Linked DNA regions of Canis lupus familiaris. The protein of the gene in region 4 interacts with the protein of the main gene of each other region in a pairwise test. Links are inferred from orthologs where the notes say so. Each region holds a gene or a part of one and is shown on either strand. Other genes may lie near its edges.

Region 1 (4,154 bases), on a different chromosome or scaffold from region 4:
CCTGGCCGGAAGGTGGGGGACAGAAGTCCTGGGGAACGGGTGGCAGGCTCTGGAGGGCCCTGGCCCACATCCAGGGGTAGCGTCTGGGGTGGCCGGGGCAGGACAGGATCCTCAGGGCTGCTACGGGGGGCCTCAGGCCGGGCTCTGAATGAGGGGGAGATCCGGGGGTCTGGGGGGCTTTGGATCAAGGATGTGGAGCCTGTGGGACCAGAGGCCGGAGCTGAAGGCTGCAGATGCGCTTCAGAAGAGGGGAGAGGTTTAGGAGCTGGGGCAGCCTTCTGTTTAGCTGGCGTCTGTCCCACAGAGGTCGAGGCTGAGGTCACAGAAGCTGGAGCCAGGGCCTGTTCTTGAGAGGACGACAAGACTGGACTGGGCACTGGGGAAGAGTTGGAGGGGGGCTGTGAGTGTTGCTCCTCAGATGCCAGGGCCAGGCTCAGGCCTGAGGCAGCCAGTGCTGGCTTGGGTCCCACGGAGGCAGGTGGCACCTGCTTCTGGTCCCTGGATGTTGGAGACAGCCTGGGCCGCAGGGTGGCTGGGGGAGGCCTCGGCCCCGCTGAGGCAGATATCACTAGCTGCCCCAGGGATGTCGGAGCCAGGACCGAGCCTGAGGTCACCGCAGGAGGCTTTGGCCCAGCCGAGGCAGACACGACTAACTGGCCCACAGATGTTGGAGCCAGGCTGGAGCTGCGGCGGGCAGGAGCTGTCTTCTGTCCTCCGGGGGTAGACAGCGGAGCCAGGATGGGTCGGGGAGATGCCAGAGCCAACCTGGGCCCCTCTGTGGAAGGTGGCACAGCCGCTCGCGGCCCCACAGCTGCTAGGGCCAATCTCGGTTCTGAGGGTGCCGGGGCTGCATTCTTCGATGGGAGTTGAAAACTTGAGTCCACCTGGAAGAAGACCAGTCAAAGACTCAGGGTAACCCTAACCAGGGGCTCGGGCCCCGGCTTCCATGGAGACCCCAGCATACTCTGGCACATCTTTGCAAGGAAGTTCTTCCTAATTTCTCACTTCAATCCATTCTGTTGCAAATCAGCTTCTCTTTTGGAGGAAACAGGAGACAGAACCTTATCTCCCTCTCTCAAGTCTGACACCTCTCACAGATGGGGAAACTAAGACCCCCAACTCAAATGAGGCAGCGTGTGAGCCAAACCCGAGGTTTCTTCCCTTGCCTTCCTGGCTGACTGATGCCCACTCCCTGGTCGCGCTGGAGGGCTGGGTGTCTGGAGTCAGGTTCTCTGGGCAGCTCTCCCTGCATTCCCTCCTGCTCCCCTGGCTAAGGGCTACCGACCTAACACCCCGGATCTGCCCTCTCTGGACACCTTGGGTCTAGCCTATTAAATTTCCCTCCTTTCCTCCATAGTTCCTCCAGGAACCCTCAGCTTTGTCCCTGTCAAGGATCCCAAACTCCTTGGCCACAGTCCTCCCTGTCCTCCTCACCCATTCCCAGAGTTCCATATAGAAGCAAGAGCCTAGGGCTAAGACTAGCCATGTCAATTCTAAGCCCAGCTCTCTGTCACCTTAGACAAGCACCTCTCTGCCCAGGGGCTCAGTTTTCATCTGTAAAATGATGGAATCCTGAGAAGCCTTGGTCTCATATTCTGTGCGTTTATGAGCCGAACATTTTCTAGGATTCCATTTGAACCCCATGGAATAGTCTGTCCTCATCAAGTGTGATTCTAACATTCTGTGTAAGTCCAGGATCCTGGCAGATCCTGGCACTGCACTTCTCTGTGCCCAATTGTCCCCTCTCCCCTGTGTCCCTCACCTTTGAGGACAGACAAGCAGGTATCCTCTTTTTGTCCGGCAGGTGGAGTGGGGGCAGGTGGAGTGGGGGAACGTGAGGCCCTGCAGGGACCTCCTCTCTCTTTCCCATCTGTCCTCTGTTTCTGATGCCCCTATCTCCAGAAGACGGGATAAAATGTCCTTTGCCAGGGAGGGCAGAAGGTTTACACTCGCCCTGAGGTGGCCCCATCCTTGCCTCCAGACATGCAGCTCTGTCTGTGTCCCGTGTCCTTCTCGGTTCAGAGAATCTGAAACTCTGCCTCCACCTTCCTCCCCAAACTTAGCTCTTTGAGACTGCATTTTAGGCTTCCTCCTCGGCTCCAAGTGTCCCCCCAACCACCACACCACCTCCAGCACTAGCAACTTAGACATCCCAGATGTCACCATTTTAGTTTTCAGGAACAAGCCTCCTCATTTTGCATTGGTTCAGAGAGGACAAGCAACTTGCCCAAGGTCACACAGCAAAGCTGGAGCACAGCTGGATCCCCTGACACCCAGTCCAGGGCTCGCTGGGGGCTCCCGGAGATGGCGAACTCCATCTCTCTCTGGGTGTCCCATCACTGCCCCCTCAGCCCCCAGAGTGCCCTGTTTGCCTAGCCCCTGCTCGGTGGGTAGAGGAGAGTGCCAGCCCCTCAGCCAGGGGCACCAGGGTGCCTGCCGTGTGTGGGGGTGTGTGGGACCAAGGATCAGGGATGGGGTGCTAGGTTTTAGGGGTCTTACCTTGGAGGGTGCCCCAGTTTGGGAAACCCCATGGGGCACAGGCACGGGCAGGGGACCTAGGCCAGCCCGGGTCCCTGGCCTCCTACTGCCACTGCTGCTCTGGCCCTCCATGTCTGCAGCCCCTAGCAGCCCGGGCTCCCTCGGGCTCCGGCTCTAGCTCCTCCGCTCCCGGGAACCAGTGATGTCATCAGCCGTTTCAACCTGCTGAGAATTTAAAGACACAGGCACCTACTTGCCAGCCTAGAGGTGGCCAAGGCAAGGTGGCCTGCACTCTGGGAGCCCTTCAGGCTGACTGCTGAGGCTGAAATGGCCGTGGGGCAGGGTGGAGAGTGTGCCCATTGGCCTGGCTTGGGGCCCGACCAGCAACATGGAGGAGGCTGGCTGTCTGTCCCCACCTTCCTGCCAGTAGGCCTGGTGGGTTCTCACTCAAGGGTGGGGTATTGACACACCTGACAGGTAAGGTAGAGACAGGTAGCTCGGAGGTCAGCACCCTCTCCAAGGCCACAGAGACACCTAAGTCCCTGCCATGATCCTGGGAGCTTGACTCCCTGCCAGCCCAGGGCTTGCTTTGCCCTCACCTTTGCCCCATTTCTGGGCCTTGGTGCCAGCCCCCCTGCCTGCTCTATCCTTCCCATCGGAGAACCAGACACTCAGGCTCCAACTGCTGGAGCCTCAGCACCGCCCCTGCTATTTTACACACACCTGGCCATCTGCCCTGGATGTCTCCACAGCCCAGCCCCTCTCACCTTTCCTCTTTCCAGTATGCACTGGATGTGGTTTGCTAGAGGGACTCGCTCAAGGTCACCCAGCAAGGTGGGGAGATCTTAAGAGCTACAGTGAGGGGAGCTTTCTCAGTAACCCAAGACCCATGGGAGCCAATTGGGGTGTCTAGGGGAAGGGAACTAAGGTGGAGAAAGGCCCAGCAGTAGAGGAATAGACTGGCAGGAAGGTCAAAAACAGGCCTGGGAAACTTCAATGGCCAGGACCCAGCACAGGGTCCAGGGAAATGTTTGCTGAATGAACGGATGACTCAGTCAGGGAGTAAGGAAAGTGAATGAGTGACAGGGCTCAGATGTGGCCAGGGATGGCTGTGGGCCCTCTGCTTCTGCTTTCTTCTCTCTCTTACTCTTATCTGCTAAGAGATCCTGATTTCTCCAGAATTGCTGGATTGCTTTGAGAGGAATGATCACACTTAGTTTAGCCAGGAAATGTCCAGAGTTTTGTACCCAGGGCTCTTGGGTGGTCCACAGTCACTTCTGTATCCTCATGGGCCTGTGTTGTCCCCTGTATGAAAATTGCATGGACAGATGCCTCATCCCCTTCTCCTGGATGGGCTTCCTACCTTTGCTTGACTATCTCTGGTTCTAGTCTGTGTTCCCTGGCCAGTGACTCTGTGAGGTTGGAATTTGTAGGGGCAGAGACCCAGGCCATCTTAGGGCTCTGGAGTAGGAAGGATTTGGGGTGATGAAGGATGGTGGAAGTGATGAGTGGTTACAGGGGAGGTGATTATAGTGGAGATAACGACCTATGTAATTATGATCATGGAAATGGAGGAGTGACACTGATGATGGAGGTGGTGGTGATGGTTCAGATAAATGGAGGTAGTGGAGGTGATGACAAAATTACAGATATTGGGGATGGTCGAGATAGCAGAA
Region 2 (4,052 bases), on a different chromosome or scaffold from region 4:
ATATAGTAAGTGCTCAGTCAATGACAATCCAAAGAATGAAAGTCTCCATCTGGATTAGAAAACAGGTTGGCTTCAGATTCAACAATGCCCTAGACCCAAACAGTGACTCACAGCTGTGAAATTTCCTCATCTCAAAGGGTGCTTAGAGTTCATTTATTCGAATCCTTTTTAAAAACCTGTGGTTTTTTCCATTGACATATTTAAGTGTTGGAAAGTGGAAAATCCACAAAAGCACAACAAAGAAATGAACTGCTATTATAAATGATTATACATGTGACATTGCAATTATGTACTTAATATGTAGTTATGTGTACATAGTGCTTTGAAACATACTTTTATTTTTATATTATAGTTGCACAGAGAGAGAGGCAGAGACACAGGCAGAGGGAGAAGCAGGCTCCATGCACCGGGAGCCTGATGTGGGATTCGATCCCGGGTCTCCAGGACCGCGCCCTGGGCCAAACGCAGGCGCTAAACCGCTGCGCCACCCAGGGATCCCTGAAACATACTTTTAAAAAGCTTTCTTTGCATTTTCCTCATACTTTAAATATCTTTAACTACATCATTTTTAATGACTGCATTACAGTCATCGGGACTGTGGGGATAATTAAGGGTACCTATCTCAAAGGGTTATGCCATGAGCACTGACCGGAGCTATGTCATGTGAAGAGACCCAGCATTTGTAAAAGGCTAGATAAACTTAGCTCTTCCGCAGGATGGCTTTATATAACCAATCCTTTTTTTTTTTTTTTTTTTTTTTTGCTGAGCATTGGAGTTATTTCCATTCTTTTGCTATGGCAAATAACGCTGGGCTATATTAATCTTTGCTCATATCTTTGGTCATTTCCTTAGTAAAGTTCAGGACTGCTGGGTTTGCACATTTCACAATTTCCCACTGAGCACGTAGGGGAACAGAGAGAGAAAGGGGCTGGCCCGGGCTCACACAGCGAGCTGCAAAGGCGGACCTGGAGACTAGCTGGGGAGCCCAAAGGGCGCCTCATCGTGTTGGGGACCGGGAGGAAGGCCTGGCCAAGGGAGAGAACCAGGCTCCAGAGCGGCGGCGGCCGCGGGAGCAGCAGGCCGGCGGGGCAGAGCGGCGCTGGGCTGGGGGGCGAGGCTGGGCGCTCGCTCGCGGGGCCCAAGCTAAGCGGTCGCCTGGCAACCCAGGCGGCGCGGCGTTCGAACGGAAGCGAGGAGCCAATCAGGATGTCCGGGGCAAACCATTCGGGCGGCGGGGGGAGAGCGGCGAGCTCACTTCCCTTTCCTCTGCGCCCCGGGGACCTCCGGGCCGGCGGGGGCCTGGGGACAGCCTGGTGCCCCGGTCCGTCTCGGGTACGCGCAGCCGCTCGGAGGAGGCCCCTGCGGGCCCCCACGCCGGGTTGGGGCGCACCGAGCCGCCTTGGACGCGGCCATTCCCAGCCCGGGTCCGAGCTGTCAGCCTCTTCCAAGACCCGCACGGGCGGAGCCGGGACTCGCCGAGCTCGGGCTTCAGGTGAGGGGGCGGGTGGTCTGGGTCGGAGGGGGTCCGGTCGCCGAGCGCCTGCTGTATACGTCCTCCCGGCGTCGTACGTGCGGGAGGAGGTGGTACCCCATTTCACCGAGGAGAACGCTGAGGCGCCCGGAGGCAAGTGTCCCATCCCTGGCTGAGAATCCAGTTCACATCTTTCAGCTCCACCTCGAAATCTCCAGTCTGGGTAGACCCAGATTTGCCTGGAGAGGTCCAGACGCTCAACTGGTGGTCAGCTCCTCAGCCTGCAAGGCTGCTATGCCCTGGAGCCCAGGCTGGATCACCTACCTCCTGCGCCGCTCCTGCATTGCCCCCTGGGTGCCCCCTCTGGGCATCTGTCTTCCCTTCTCTAGGACGCCAGAGGTTGGATTCAGGGCTCGTTTGGGGTCCTTCTGCCCACAGGGTACTGAATCGCAGTGCCATCTCAAAGGGCTGTTTTGGGGGATCCGACTGGACCGACGTGTCTTGGTTAGGTGCTAGGTGGGCAGCAGGTGCTTTGGCCCTGGAACCACTGTTAGATTCTTGAGAATCTGCTCCAGGCTGGGGGAAATGGGTAAAGGCAGCCACTGAACGTTAAGCCACTAGTCAGCAGAGACTTTGGAGTTCAGGATGGGGCTGCTGACACCTCTGGCTGGAGCAGCATACGTAGACCAGGCCCTGACTCCTGGGGATGCTCTGGGAACTCAGAAAGAAAATAAGTCTTTCATTTATTCTTTCAACAAATATTTATTGACTTTGTATGCCATGCCCTGCCCTCCCCTTTGTCTATTTTGTTTCTCTCAGTGGCATTTGCCCATCTAATGTCCTCTGTATTTCACTTATTAGGGAGTTGATATCTTCTTCCACTGGAATGTGATAGGAGGAGGGGCTAAGGTGGCCTCCCGGGCAAAATTGAGGGGTGCCAAAACCTCTAATCAAGATAACTAAAGCTAACAGTTATTATTTTCTTAAAGATTTATTTATTTTAGAGAGAGAGAGATGGAGTGTGGGAGTGGGTTGGGGGATTGAGGGTGAGGGGGCAGAGGCAGAGGGGGAGGAGAAACAGATCCTCCTTTTGCAGGGGAGTTCAAGGGGGGAGGAGGGGAAGCTGGATCCTAGGACCCTGAGATCATGACCTGAATGGAAACCAAGACTTGGAAGCTCAACCGACTGAGCCACCCAGGTGCCCTAAAGCTAACTGTTACTATTTGCTGCGTGTTCTGCTGGTAGAGATCAACTCACATGGCCTCTATGGAACACAGTACACCGTCTCTGTCACGATTACAAGCACGTCCTCAGCCCAGCTGTCTCACTTCTAGGCAACGCAATGTAGGTGCAGTGACGCCGCAGGCTGGTTTGTAATAGGGCAGGTCTGGACACACACTAAATGGTCATCAGCAGGGGCTGACGAGCTCTTTATGTTACTGATGTGCCACCACACATATTTTTGGACAACATATATTATTAAGTATATTAATACATATATTAGAATTAATACTATATTAACATTATTAAAACAACATGTATTATTGAGTAAAAAGAGCAAGGTGAATACAGTACACACAGCATGTTGCCATATGTGTACAAAAATAGAAAGAATTTATACTCATTATTGCTTGATCTGCCTAAAATCTCCCTGGAAGGACACACAGTTGTCTGGTTACAGTGGCACCTGCAGGGAGGGGAACTGGGTGGCTGGGGACAGGGGTGGGAAAGAGTTTGTTTTTTACTTCATTCTCTTCATAGTTTTTGAATTTTGAGTCATGGGCATATATCATCTGGTTGCATTATATACATATGAATCATTATAGATGATATATTTGATCATAAGACCAGTGCCCCATCTGTGATCTGTCATTGACTTGCTGTGTGACTTTGGGAAAGTTTCTTCACCTCTCTGGGCCAAGATAAGAAGCCATGATGGCAAACTCAGGTCTGGGAAGAAGGCAGTCCAGGACAGGAAGTGGGCTTGCCCCGGAGTCTACCCCAACCTCCACCTTCACTATCCTTGTGAGCCAGGACCTTCCCTGAGGCTTTGCATGCAGTCTCTGTCTCCACTGCAAGCCCGTTTGTCCTCATTTTGCAACTTCAGGTACACACTGAGGCACAGATAATTGAGCTGGTGGAGCTGAGCTGTCCGCTGGCCGATAGAAGATCAGTGCTTCAGGCGTCTGTGCCCACAGCCCTCCTTCAGTCCGCTCACCTCTCTCTTTCTGAGATGTGTGCAAGTGTGCCCTGGGCAAGGCCCACTGCAAGCAGGTCAGGGCATGAGTGTCTGGGGAGACTCCAGAAATAGCACGGAGCCTGGCGTGGCCCTGGAGGATGCCCAGCTGGGTGTCTCTGACCCGGACAGCTGGGCTGAAATCGAGCTGGCCTGCCCTATTGGCTGGCCCCCTCCCTGCTGCCTGGAGCCTTCCTGATCCTCCTCTGGGGCAGGTGAGGGCCTCCCTGTCTCCACCCAAGTCAGGGCCTGGCTTCTGCCGAATGGAAAGAGCGAAGCAGGTGGAAGGAAGGGGTGGGGTGGGGGGTGCAGAATGTCATGAAAACTATAAACGTCGAAGCCACA
Region 3 (4,274 bases), on a different chromosome or scaffold from region 4:
TTTCACAAAAATAGGCATTACGTGGCTCACTAGCCATTCTATAAAATAGCAATTCAAGACACTTACATATTAATAATAAAACTTTTCAAAAGTTTAATATAATGGGGTAAACTTTCTTCTTTTACATCTACTGACTTTAAGTTTTAATGGAGAAGATCAATAAGTAAGATGGAGGGCAGAGTACAAACTGTAGGCTGAAAAAGTTTTATATATTTCTAGAGGCCTGACACATAACAATCTTCATAAAGCTAAATGAGACTTTTATCAATAATCTCAGAATGAAATTTAACCAGGCACTGTTGATGCTAAGGTTCTTTGAGATTGTTAAAATTTACTTTCCTAGCTATCAACAAAGAAAACACTTTCATAGATGTTAAGTCATCAGAAGGCTATTCTAGTTGTTTTATGGATTCAAAATTCTATGGTTAATATATTTTAACATTTTCATAACAGTGACTTCCTAAGCTTTGGGAAAGGGAGGTGTATGAATTTGTGAGCCTCAGAAAGTACAGGACTAAGACAACTTTATTCTAATCCCTAAGTATTTGTTATAAACTACTATCCGGCAATCACAGAAATACCAAAAAACGGAGCTCACAGGCTGGCTCAGTCAGTACAGCATGTGATTCTTGATCTCGGGATTGTGAGTTTGAGCCCCATGTTGGGTACAGAGGTTACTTTAAAAAACAAACAAATGGAGACCAAATTTATAGTGAATAGTGAAAACGAGGGATAACAGCTTCAGTTAGGTATAATAGGGCTTAATTAATTTCTTCTCCTTCCTTCTCATTCTTCTCTTGTATGGATACACCACACAAGGGTAAACTACTCCACTGGATTCAAAAGCTACATTTCATCAGCCAAACAAGCTGCTGTTATTATTGTTAAAAGATGGCCCCATATTCACCACCCTATGGATGAACAATTTCAAAACTTATGGACAAGAGAGAGAAGTAGCAGTCAGTTAATCAGCCAACTAAGCTGGTTCTAGATGTAACCACTTTCTTGCTGCTCCACTTTGGCTTTGTTACCAACAATGTAGTGGGAACTCCTACACACCATGAATCTTATGCCTTTAAAATTAAACAATATAAAAATAAAATAAAATAAAATAAACAGTAATTCAAGACAACAATTTTTCTGAAGCTAAATATAAAGTTAACACTAAGAAAAAGTGTGGAAATATATATAAGTAACAAGGTATGAGGAATGAACTCTGGATATGAAACTAAGAAATCTGGAGTCAAGTTCCCTTCCAACTCTATCTAGCTACGAACAAGTAATTCCAAAGAGGTATGCAAAAGAACGACAATTGTACTCAAGAATTTCCCATTTTACCAGGTCCCTAAACATTTTAAAAACCTACTTTATTTAGGAAAGATGGATCAATATCAACTTAAAATGTAATGGTGTTCATCTATTCAGGGAAAACAGATACTATAGAATAGAGTACCTTCACACTTAATTAAGAGATTAAGTGGTAGTGGCTACAGAGGTTTTGGTGGGTAAAGGGAAGGAAAAGTATGCAATATCAAATATAAAACAAATCTTCAAGCAAAATAAATTTGAAAAAGCAACCATTCTTCAAAACGAGGAAAAGAGATTCCTGTCTTCCCCAAGTAATACCTGTTGCTAAAGGATCTTTCATCGATGCTTTCAGAGATTCCTTTATCGCCTTTATCTTATCCAGAAATGCCAGAGATCCAGCATGTGAAAACTGTTTGGCTGACTGCACTGCATTATCATGTTTAGTGAACTTGTGCTTTACAGAATTTCTTCGAGAGTATGAAACTCGTTTGGGGAACAAAACTTCTTCCATGAATTGTTCTTCATCTTCTGGCTCCTCGTTCAAGAAGCTCTGGTCATTTTCCTCTTTCACATGTGTCGTGTGGCCTTCACTGGATGGTGTGACTTCAGATTCACTGCCTTCTGCTTGACCTGACTCTGGAAGCTCCTCCGAGGAAATTGGAACATTGATGGTCTCAAAAGCATCATCATTTTCTTCTGACGCAGTAACAGCATTCTGAGCACCAAATTCTTCTTCCCGATCAGACATTTTTCTGAACCAAAAAAATATATGAAAAATAAATATATATATATATGTATTTATTACACATAAAAAATTCTTACACCAAATATCAAATTCAGTGCTGGTATACAGTGATGTTCATAACATACTGCAATGTTGCTCACTATTTTCTTTTAAATACTGATTATTTTAGTAACGGCATTAGGTAAAAGCACCGGGGAATTTTTAATAAAAACACCATGAAAAGTAAAAATATCACTAAACGAGAACCTCAAAACACAATTTGAGAAAAATCTACTGTCAAGAATATATTGAAAAATATTTTAAAATATATTGTCAACGCTTCCCTATCCAATGAACAATGCCTTGTGAAAGGGTTTATTTGAAAAGCTTTCTTTCTGAATACAAACTAACACAGGACTTTTATTTCTGGGATTACAACGGATCAGAAGCTGTAAGGGATCTGCCAGCGACCCAGCAACCACACCCTGTATGGTAAGCACTCTTTGTAGTAGCTTTGTTCTCACAAACTGTAGCAAGTCTCCAATGACTTTTGTTCCCCACAACAAACAAGTGTGGGTTGATTTTGGAGCTGACTAGTGCCCGAGGTACAGCAATCCAGAGCTCTGGCTTGGGAGACTGTGACAGCACCCAGGACCTGGGGCCAGAGTGGGCTCGGGCAGCCAAGGGCCAGGCTGCAGGGGCAGCAGCGGGATCAGAGCTCTGAGGAGCCAGTACATCAGGGAGCCTACCTGTAGAAACTGGCAGCCATCAAGGGAGGATAGAAGTGACCTGGAGGTGTATTTCTGTGGCAAGAGCAGGGGCGGATTAAAATATGGAACAAGTAGTGAAGTGGGAAAGCTGTGTTTGGGGCTAACACATTAAGCACAAATCCTTACATAGAAAAAAAAAAAAAAAACCTTAGTGAAGTTCTCTAGCCTTCCTCAAATATGGAATATCTGGAATAAAAATATATATTTGTTGAATTCAATGAATATAGCATTATAATTGAAGAGAGAATTGGGAAACTAAAAGATAAATAAAATGATTTGATATAGAATGCAGCAAACAGATAAGGATATGAAAAATATGAGAGATTAAGGGCCATGCAAAAGAGAAAAAGTCTAGCATATCTATTGCTAAGTATATCTTTCTGTGAGCTCAGAATGGTTTTATACTTTTAAAATAAAAAAATAGCAATGAATATGCAGCAGAGACTGTATGTGGCCTGAGAAGCCCTTTCCAGAAAAAGTCTGTCAGCCCCTGATCTAATTAACAGATGTCAAATCTGAATCACAGAGGAAACAAAAAGATAAATGAGAGAAAATATTTTTAAAGTAACGGTTGAGAATTTTACAAAACTCTTTTTTAGTATATGTGCTGCCAAAGCAAGCATGAGAATTTTACAAAACTGATGAAAAGTATGGATCCAAAGATCCAAGAAGCATAACATAAACATACACCCAATGGGATAAATATAAATAAATCAAACCCATATGCACTGTAATTACATTACAGAATAACAAAGAGAAGGTCTGGAAAGCACACAGTGAAAAAGGACATATCACCTACTGCTTTGGATTAATTTGCTAATATTAATACAAAGGAAAGAAAAGCAAAATCACTGCGGATTTCTCGTCAGAAATATAGAAGCCAAGGTAACAATGAACTAATTAAAAGATAGCTATCAACCTAGAATTGTGCATAGAGCAAAATTCTCTTTCAAGATAGAAAATAGGGATCCCTGGGTGGCGCAGCGGTTTGGCGCCTGCCTTTGGCCCAGGGCGCGATCCTGGAGACCCGGGATCGAATCCCATATCGGGCTCCCAGTGCATGGAGCCTGCTTCTCCCTCTGCCTGTGTCTCTGCCTCTCTCTCTCTCTGTGTGACCATCATAAATAAAGAAAAAATTAAAAAAAAAAAAAAAAAAGAAAATAGAAATATTTATACATAGTTACCACAAAGATATCTGCTCTAAAGAAAGTTCTAAAGGATATACTTGAAGGAAGAGGAAAATGGGGTCAACAGAACTTTGAAGTGCAAAAGAAAAGGTAAACAAATAAATTATAAGCATACGGGTAAACCCGAACATATACTGTCAACAGAATAGTAGTAGAAAATTAAAATATTAGACAATAAGAATATATGACTGGGAAGGGAAAGATCAGAGTGAACTGTTCTCAAATTCTTATACTTTTTACGAAATTGAGGGATAGGATACTTAACCCTAGACTTTGTTAAATTAA
Region 4 (4,267 bases):
GCCCCACTGCCCACCATTTACAAACGTCAGAAGGTATCAAGCAGTGGAGGGAGCAGGCATGGTGGGGCTGGGGACAGTGAACAGGGTCTCCAACTTCAGCCTCTCATTCCACTTGGTTTTAAAGGCTGGCAGATCAGGGCTACAGTCCCAGCTCTATGCATGACTCAGTGTGACCTTAGGTAAGTCACTCGACCTCTCTGACCCTGACTTTCCTCACTTATAAAATGAGGGTGAAAATGCCAACTTGTAAAGTTATTTTAAGGATACAATTAGATGGATACAAGCAACTTCAGTTTGGCAGCCTAGATACTCTCCAGGCCCTCTCACTACCACACAACTACATTTGACATAAAACATAATTTTAAAACTATATCAGTGGGGCACCCGTGTGGCTCAGTCGGTTGAGCATCTGACTCTTGATTTCAAATCAGGTCATGATTTCAGGGTTGTGAGATCAAGCTGCATGTTGGGCTCCATGCTCTACTTTGAGATCCTCTCCCTCTGCCCCTCCCCCTAGTCTCTCTCTCTCATGAACAAAATGAATCTTTTAAAAAAGGGAAATAAAAATTATATCAGAGGACAAATGTTGGCAGTATTCCTGAGCTAGACAGCTGAGACTATGCCTCCAGACTCCTGAAAGGTGGACACCTGAACTGAAGACCTCCACAAATCTTGGGTTAAACTGGAATCTCAGGAACTAAGGTAGTCAGATGTGCCACCGGCTTTTGACAAAAGCAAATGCAGAATCTGCGTGGAGGAAACCCACCCAATTTAGGCTCTTAGGGTTTCCTTAGATTAAGAACAACAAAATATTAATTCAAAAGTGAAGATACAGAAAGAAGTGTACCTGAGTGAAGTCGGTAGAAACCAAAATTAGAGATTAGACCTCTGAGGAATTCAGATATTGGAAATATTAAAGAATTGGGAATTACTGTGCATAAAATGATTTCTTAAAAGGATGGAATAAAACCTTAGCAATAATAGATTGCCAAACATGCAGATTTAACAAAGAGCCAAATAGAGCTTTTAAAAATGAAAATGTGATTGTTGAAATAAGACATCCAAAGGGTAAATTAAATGACAGATTCCTCTGAAGAAAGAATTAGCAAACAGGAAGGCAGGCCTGAAAAAGTAGCCTAGGATGCAGCACTGGGAGAGGAGAAGGATGAGCACATATGTCTCCTCAGAGTCACAGAATGAGCAAATAAAGAGAATGGAGATGAGGTAATAGTATCCTAAGGAATAATTACGAAGAATTTTTCTGAATTGATGGAAGGCGTGAATCTACAGACGAAGCATTTAGTCCAGGGCCTGGCAATTGGTGGATATTTGGCAAATGTCTGTCCCTTTCTCATTTGTTGATGGAGGCCCTCCTCTTTCCATCTCCTTACAGAATCCACAAATGTGCTTTCACACTTCTTGGACAGTACCAAGCCACTAGATCTCTGGAATAGCTACACTGCTGGTGGAGTGGAGGGACAGTCCTCTCCTAGGCAGCCCTGGCTGGGGTGGGAAGGGTACAGCTCTAGACAGGGTCCTCCAGCTCTAAGTGCTGGCCTGTGTGTGTGGCAGAGCGAGCTCAGTGATGGCATCGCAATGCTGGTGGCAGGCAACGACCGTGTGCAAGCAGTGATCACACAGATGGAGGAAGTGTGCCAGACCATCGAGGTGAGTCTGGGTTGGGAGAGAGGGGAAATTTCTGGGTTCCTGGTGGAGGAGGGAATCACAATTAGTGGGATATGCTTAGCCAAGCTACTAGGTTTGAGTTCCCAGGGTAGCTCCGTGACTTTGGTCCAGTTACTTCACTTCTCTATGCTTTGTTTTAAACATATAAAATAATGATAATAATATGATGGCTACCTCACTGGATATTTTTGAGAATTAAATGAGATAATATAAGTAAAAACTAGGACCAGAGATACTTCCGAACTCCTTTAAAATATTGTATTTGCTAAAGAGAGAAAATCTCAAGTTTTCACAAGAAAAAAAATTGTAACTATATGTAATGATAGATAACTAGACTTGTGATCATTTCACAATATGTACAAATATGATCATTTCACAATATGTACATTTCACTACATTGTACATCTGAAACTAATATAATGCTAAAAGTCAATTATATCCCAATTTTTAAAAATCTTGTAATTGGTATTACTGAAAAGACCTGGGTTATCAGCAGCCCGTGGCTATGGGTGGGGTACTTTCCTTCCTGTCTGTGCCGCCTGTTTACTGGGGAGTGGGACAAGTAGGTGCGTGCTCTCCCAGCTAGAAATCTTATCCTTGCTCCGCTCTTTCAGGACAACAGCCGGAGGCAGAAGCAGCTGCTTAACCAGAGGTTCGAGGCCCTGTGCTCCGTGCTGGAGGAGCGCAAGGCCGAGCTGCTGCAGGCGCTGGCCCGCGAGCAGGAGGAGAAGCTGCAGCGCGTCCGGGGCCTCATCCGCCAGTATGGAGACCACCTAGAAGCCTCCTCTAAGCTCGTGGAGTCCGCCATCCAGTCCATGGAGGAGCCACAGATGGCGCTGTACCTCCAGGTGGGCGCTGGGGGAGGGCGGGAGGCCGCAGAGTGGCGGCAGTGGGGGCCTTGGCACCAGGAGGGCTGGGCTCCAGTCTTACCTCTGGCAGCCAACTGCCCCACGGCCTCGGGCAAGTCACCCAGTCTGAGTCTGTTTTCTCCTCAACGACCCGGGATATGCATCCGCGCCTACCGCGCAGGACTGTGGGCGCCAGCAATGGGACTTTGCCAGCGCTTGGCGCGGTGCTTACGCTCACCCTCCCTTCTTCCCTGCAGCAGGCCAAGGAGCTGATCAATAAGTGAGTAGGCGGAGCGGGAGAGGCAAAGAGGGGCTGCCTGGGCTCGGCTGCCCCGCAGAGCGGGTTGAGGGTGCTGCGGCGACTCCAGCTGAGCGGCTGCCGCGCCGCAGGGTCGGGACAATGTCGAAAGTGGAGCTGGCAGGACGGCCAGAACCGGGCTATGAAAGCATGGAGCAGTTCACCGTGAGCGTGGAGCACGTGGCCGAAATGCTGAGGACCATCGACTTCCAGCCCGGTGAGGGAGTGAGGATGGGAGGGGGCGGCGGGCGCTGGGACTGGGCGTCCCGAGGCGACGCGGGGAAGGGGGACGGGGGACGGGGGACGGGGGGGGGGGGGGGGGGAGGTCGCGGCCAGAGAAGCAGGGACTCCACCTCACGGGGTCTTCCTGGGGGACAGGCGCTTCCGGGGAGGAAGAGGATGAGGAGGTGGCATTGGACGGGGAAGAGGGCAGCGCAGGGCCGGAGGAAGAGCGGCCGGATGGGCCGGAAGGTGAGTGTGGCCCGAGGGGCCTGGCGGGGCTGGCTCGACGCCCCGGGCCCCTCTGCAGTGAGGCCGCCCTGCGGCACCAGCGATCTTTGGTGGCCTCCCCACCCCCAGCGGGAGGGGCGCCCCCTAGCGCGCGTGCAGAAGTACACTCTCTTTCCCACCAGCCTTTCCTCTGGGGCTTTGGGAGACCAGGTTGGGTCGGGAGGTAGAGGAGAAAGCCACGTGGCTGGGGGAGAAGGGGCGAGCTGGGGTTCGGAGCTGCCTTGTTCCTCTGGAACGCCCGCCCACCGAGCTTTCTTTCCCAGGCACTGGCGGGCACTGAGCTGCTCCCTGTTGGGGAGCCCGCGCACCGGGGCCTGGCGCTGGGGTCGCGGAGGACCTGCTCAGAGACCGCTGCGCCACCCAGCTCGGCGCCCAGCCGCGGGGGAGGGGCTCAATAAAGGGCTAATGTGTTCAGACCCGCAGCTCCTTTCACTGCTCACTCTCAGTCTCGGCTTCCGAGTGACCCCATCACCATCCTGCCCTTCTCCGGATCCGGGCCCATTTGAGGGACGGAAGTGGAATGACCCCTGCGGGGCATCTCCTTGGTATCAAGCACGGTTTGGCGAGCTCAGTGCCAAGGGAAAAGGGTCGGGGTGGTGCGGCGGCACCAGCACCTGAGTTCTTGGGGGAACGATGGAGATGCGGACCCCGGGTGAAGGCCCTTCTGCCCGAGCCCTCGCGCCAGCATCTAGTTCCCCCCCGCCGGCCTGGGAGGTCGCACTTTCCCACGGGCTCCCACCCTGCTGTGGTTCCCTGCGCCCCACAACCGAGGCCAAAGGCTCTTCAGCACTTTTATTAAAAACTGGTGACGCACAGAGTGCTCAGGGCATCCCTGGGCCGCTCTAATCTGGCGGGACTGGGTCACTTCCAGTCGCGCACGTCCGGGCCCGGGGAGAGGGGACGGGGTCGAGGTTATCGCGGCTGC

The links. The genes of interacting proteins can lie anywhere in the genome.
Region 1: the proteins of TRIM54 (region 4) and INPP5J interact in binary tests that used the Homo sapiens proteins (3 or more experiments, as listed by UniProt). The two-hybrid records come from large-scale screens. The link is inferred for Canis lupus familiaris from reciprocal best matches to the Homo sapiens genes TRIM54 and INPP5J.
Region 2: the proteins of TRIM54 (region 4) and FAM110A interact in binary tests that used the Homo sapiens proteins (3 or more experiments, as listed by UniProt). The two-hybrid records come from large-scale screens. The link is inferred for Canis lupus familiaris from reciprocal best matches to the Homo sapiens genes TRIM54 and FAM110A.
Region 3: the proteins of TRIM54 (region 4) and IQUB interact in binary tests that used the Homo sapiens proteins (3 or more experiments, as listed by UniProt). The link is inferred for Canis lupus familiaris from reciprocal best matches to the Homo sapiens genes TRIM54 and IQUB.

The regions. Positions count from the first base shown.
Region 1 is NC_049247.1:24,526,093-24,530,246, reverse strand, and holds the start of INPP5J (phosphatidylinositol 4,5-bisphosphate 5-phosphatase A), read right to left. Parts: upstream 2,805-4,154; 5' UTR 2,611-2,804; coding exon 2,500-2,610; intron 885-2,499; coding exon 1-884. UniProt on the Homo sapiens protein: Inositol 5-phosphatase, which converts inositol 1,4,5-trisphosphate to inositol 1,4-bisphosphate.
Region 2 is NC_049245.1:20,607,900-20,611,951, reverse strand, and holds the start of FAM110A (protein FAM110A), read left to right. Parts: upstream 1-1,248; 5' UTR 1,249-1,492; intron 1,493-4,052.
Region 3 is NC_049235.1:61,093,780-61,098,053, forward strand, and holds the start of IQUB (IQ and ubiquitin-like domain-containing protein), read right to left. Parts: upstream 2,805-4,274; 5' UTR 2,802-2,804; coding exon 2,782-2,801; intron 2,061-2,781; coding exon 1,627-2,060; intron 1-1,626. UniProt on the Homo sapiens protein: Adapter protein that anchors the radial spoke 1 (RS1) complex to the A microtubule of outer doublet microtubules in axonemes. The triple radial spokes (RS1, RS2 and RS3) are required to modulate beating of the sperm flagellum.
Region 4 is NC_049238.1:21,340,352-21,344,618, forward strand, and holds the end of TRIM54 (tripartite motif-containing protein 54), read left to right. Parts: coding exon 1-33; intron 34-1,572; coding exon 1,573-1,668; intron 1,669-2,300; coding exon 2,301-2,534; intron 2,535-2,791; coding exon 2,792-2,814; intron 2,815-2,924; coding exon 2,925-3,049; intron 3,050-3,210; coding exon 3,211-3,303; intron 3,304-3,605; coding exon 3,606-3,622; 3' UTR 3,623-3,764; downstream 3,765-4,267. UniProt on the Homo sapiens protein: May bind and stabilize microtubules during myotubes formation.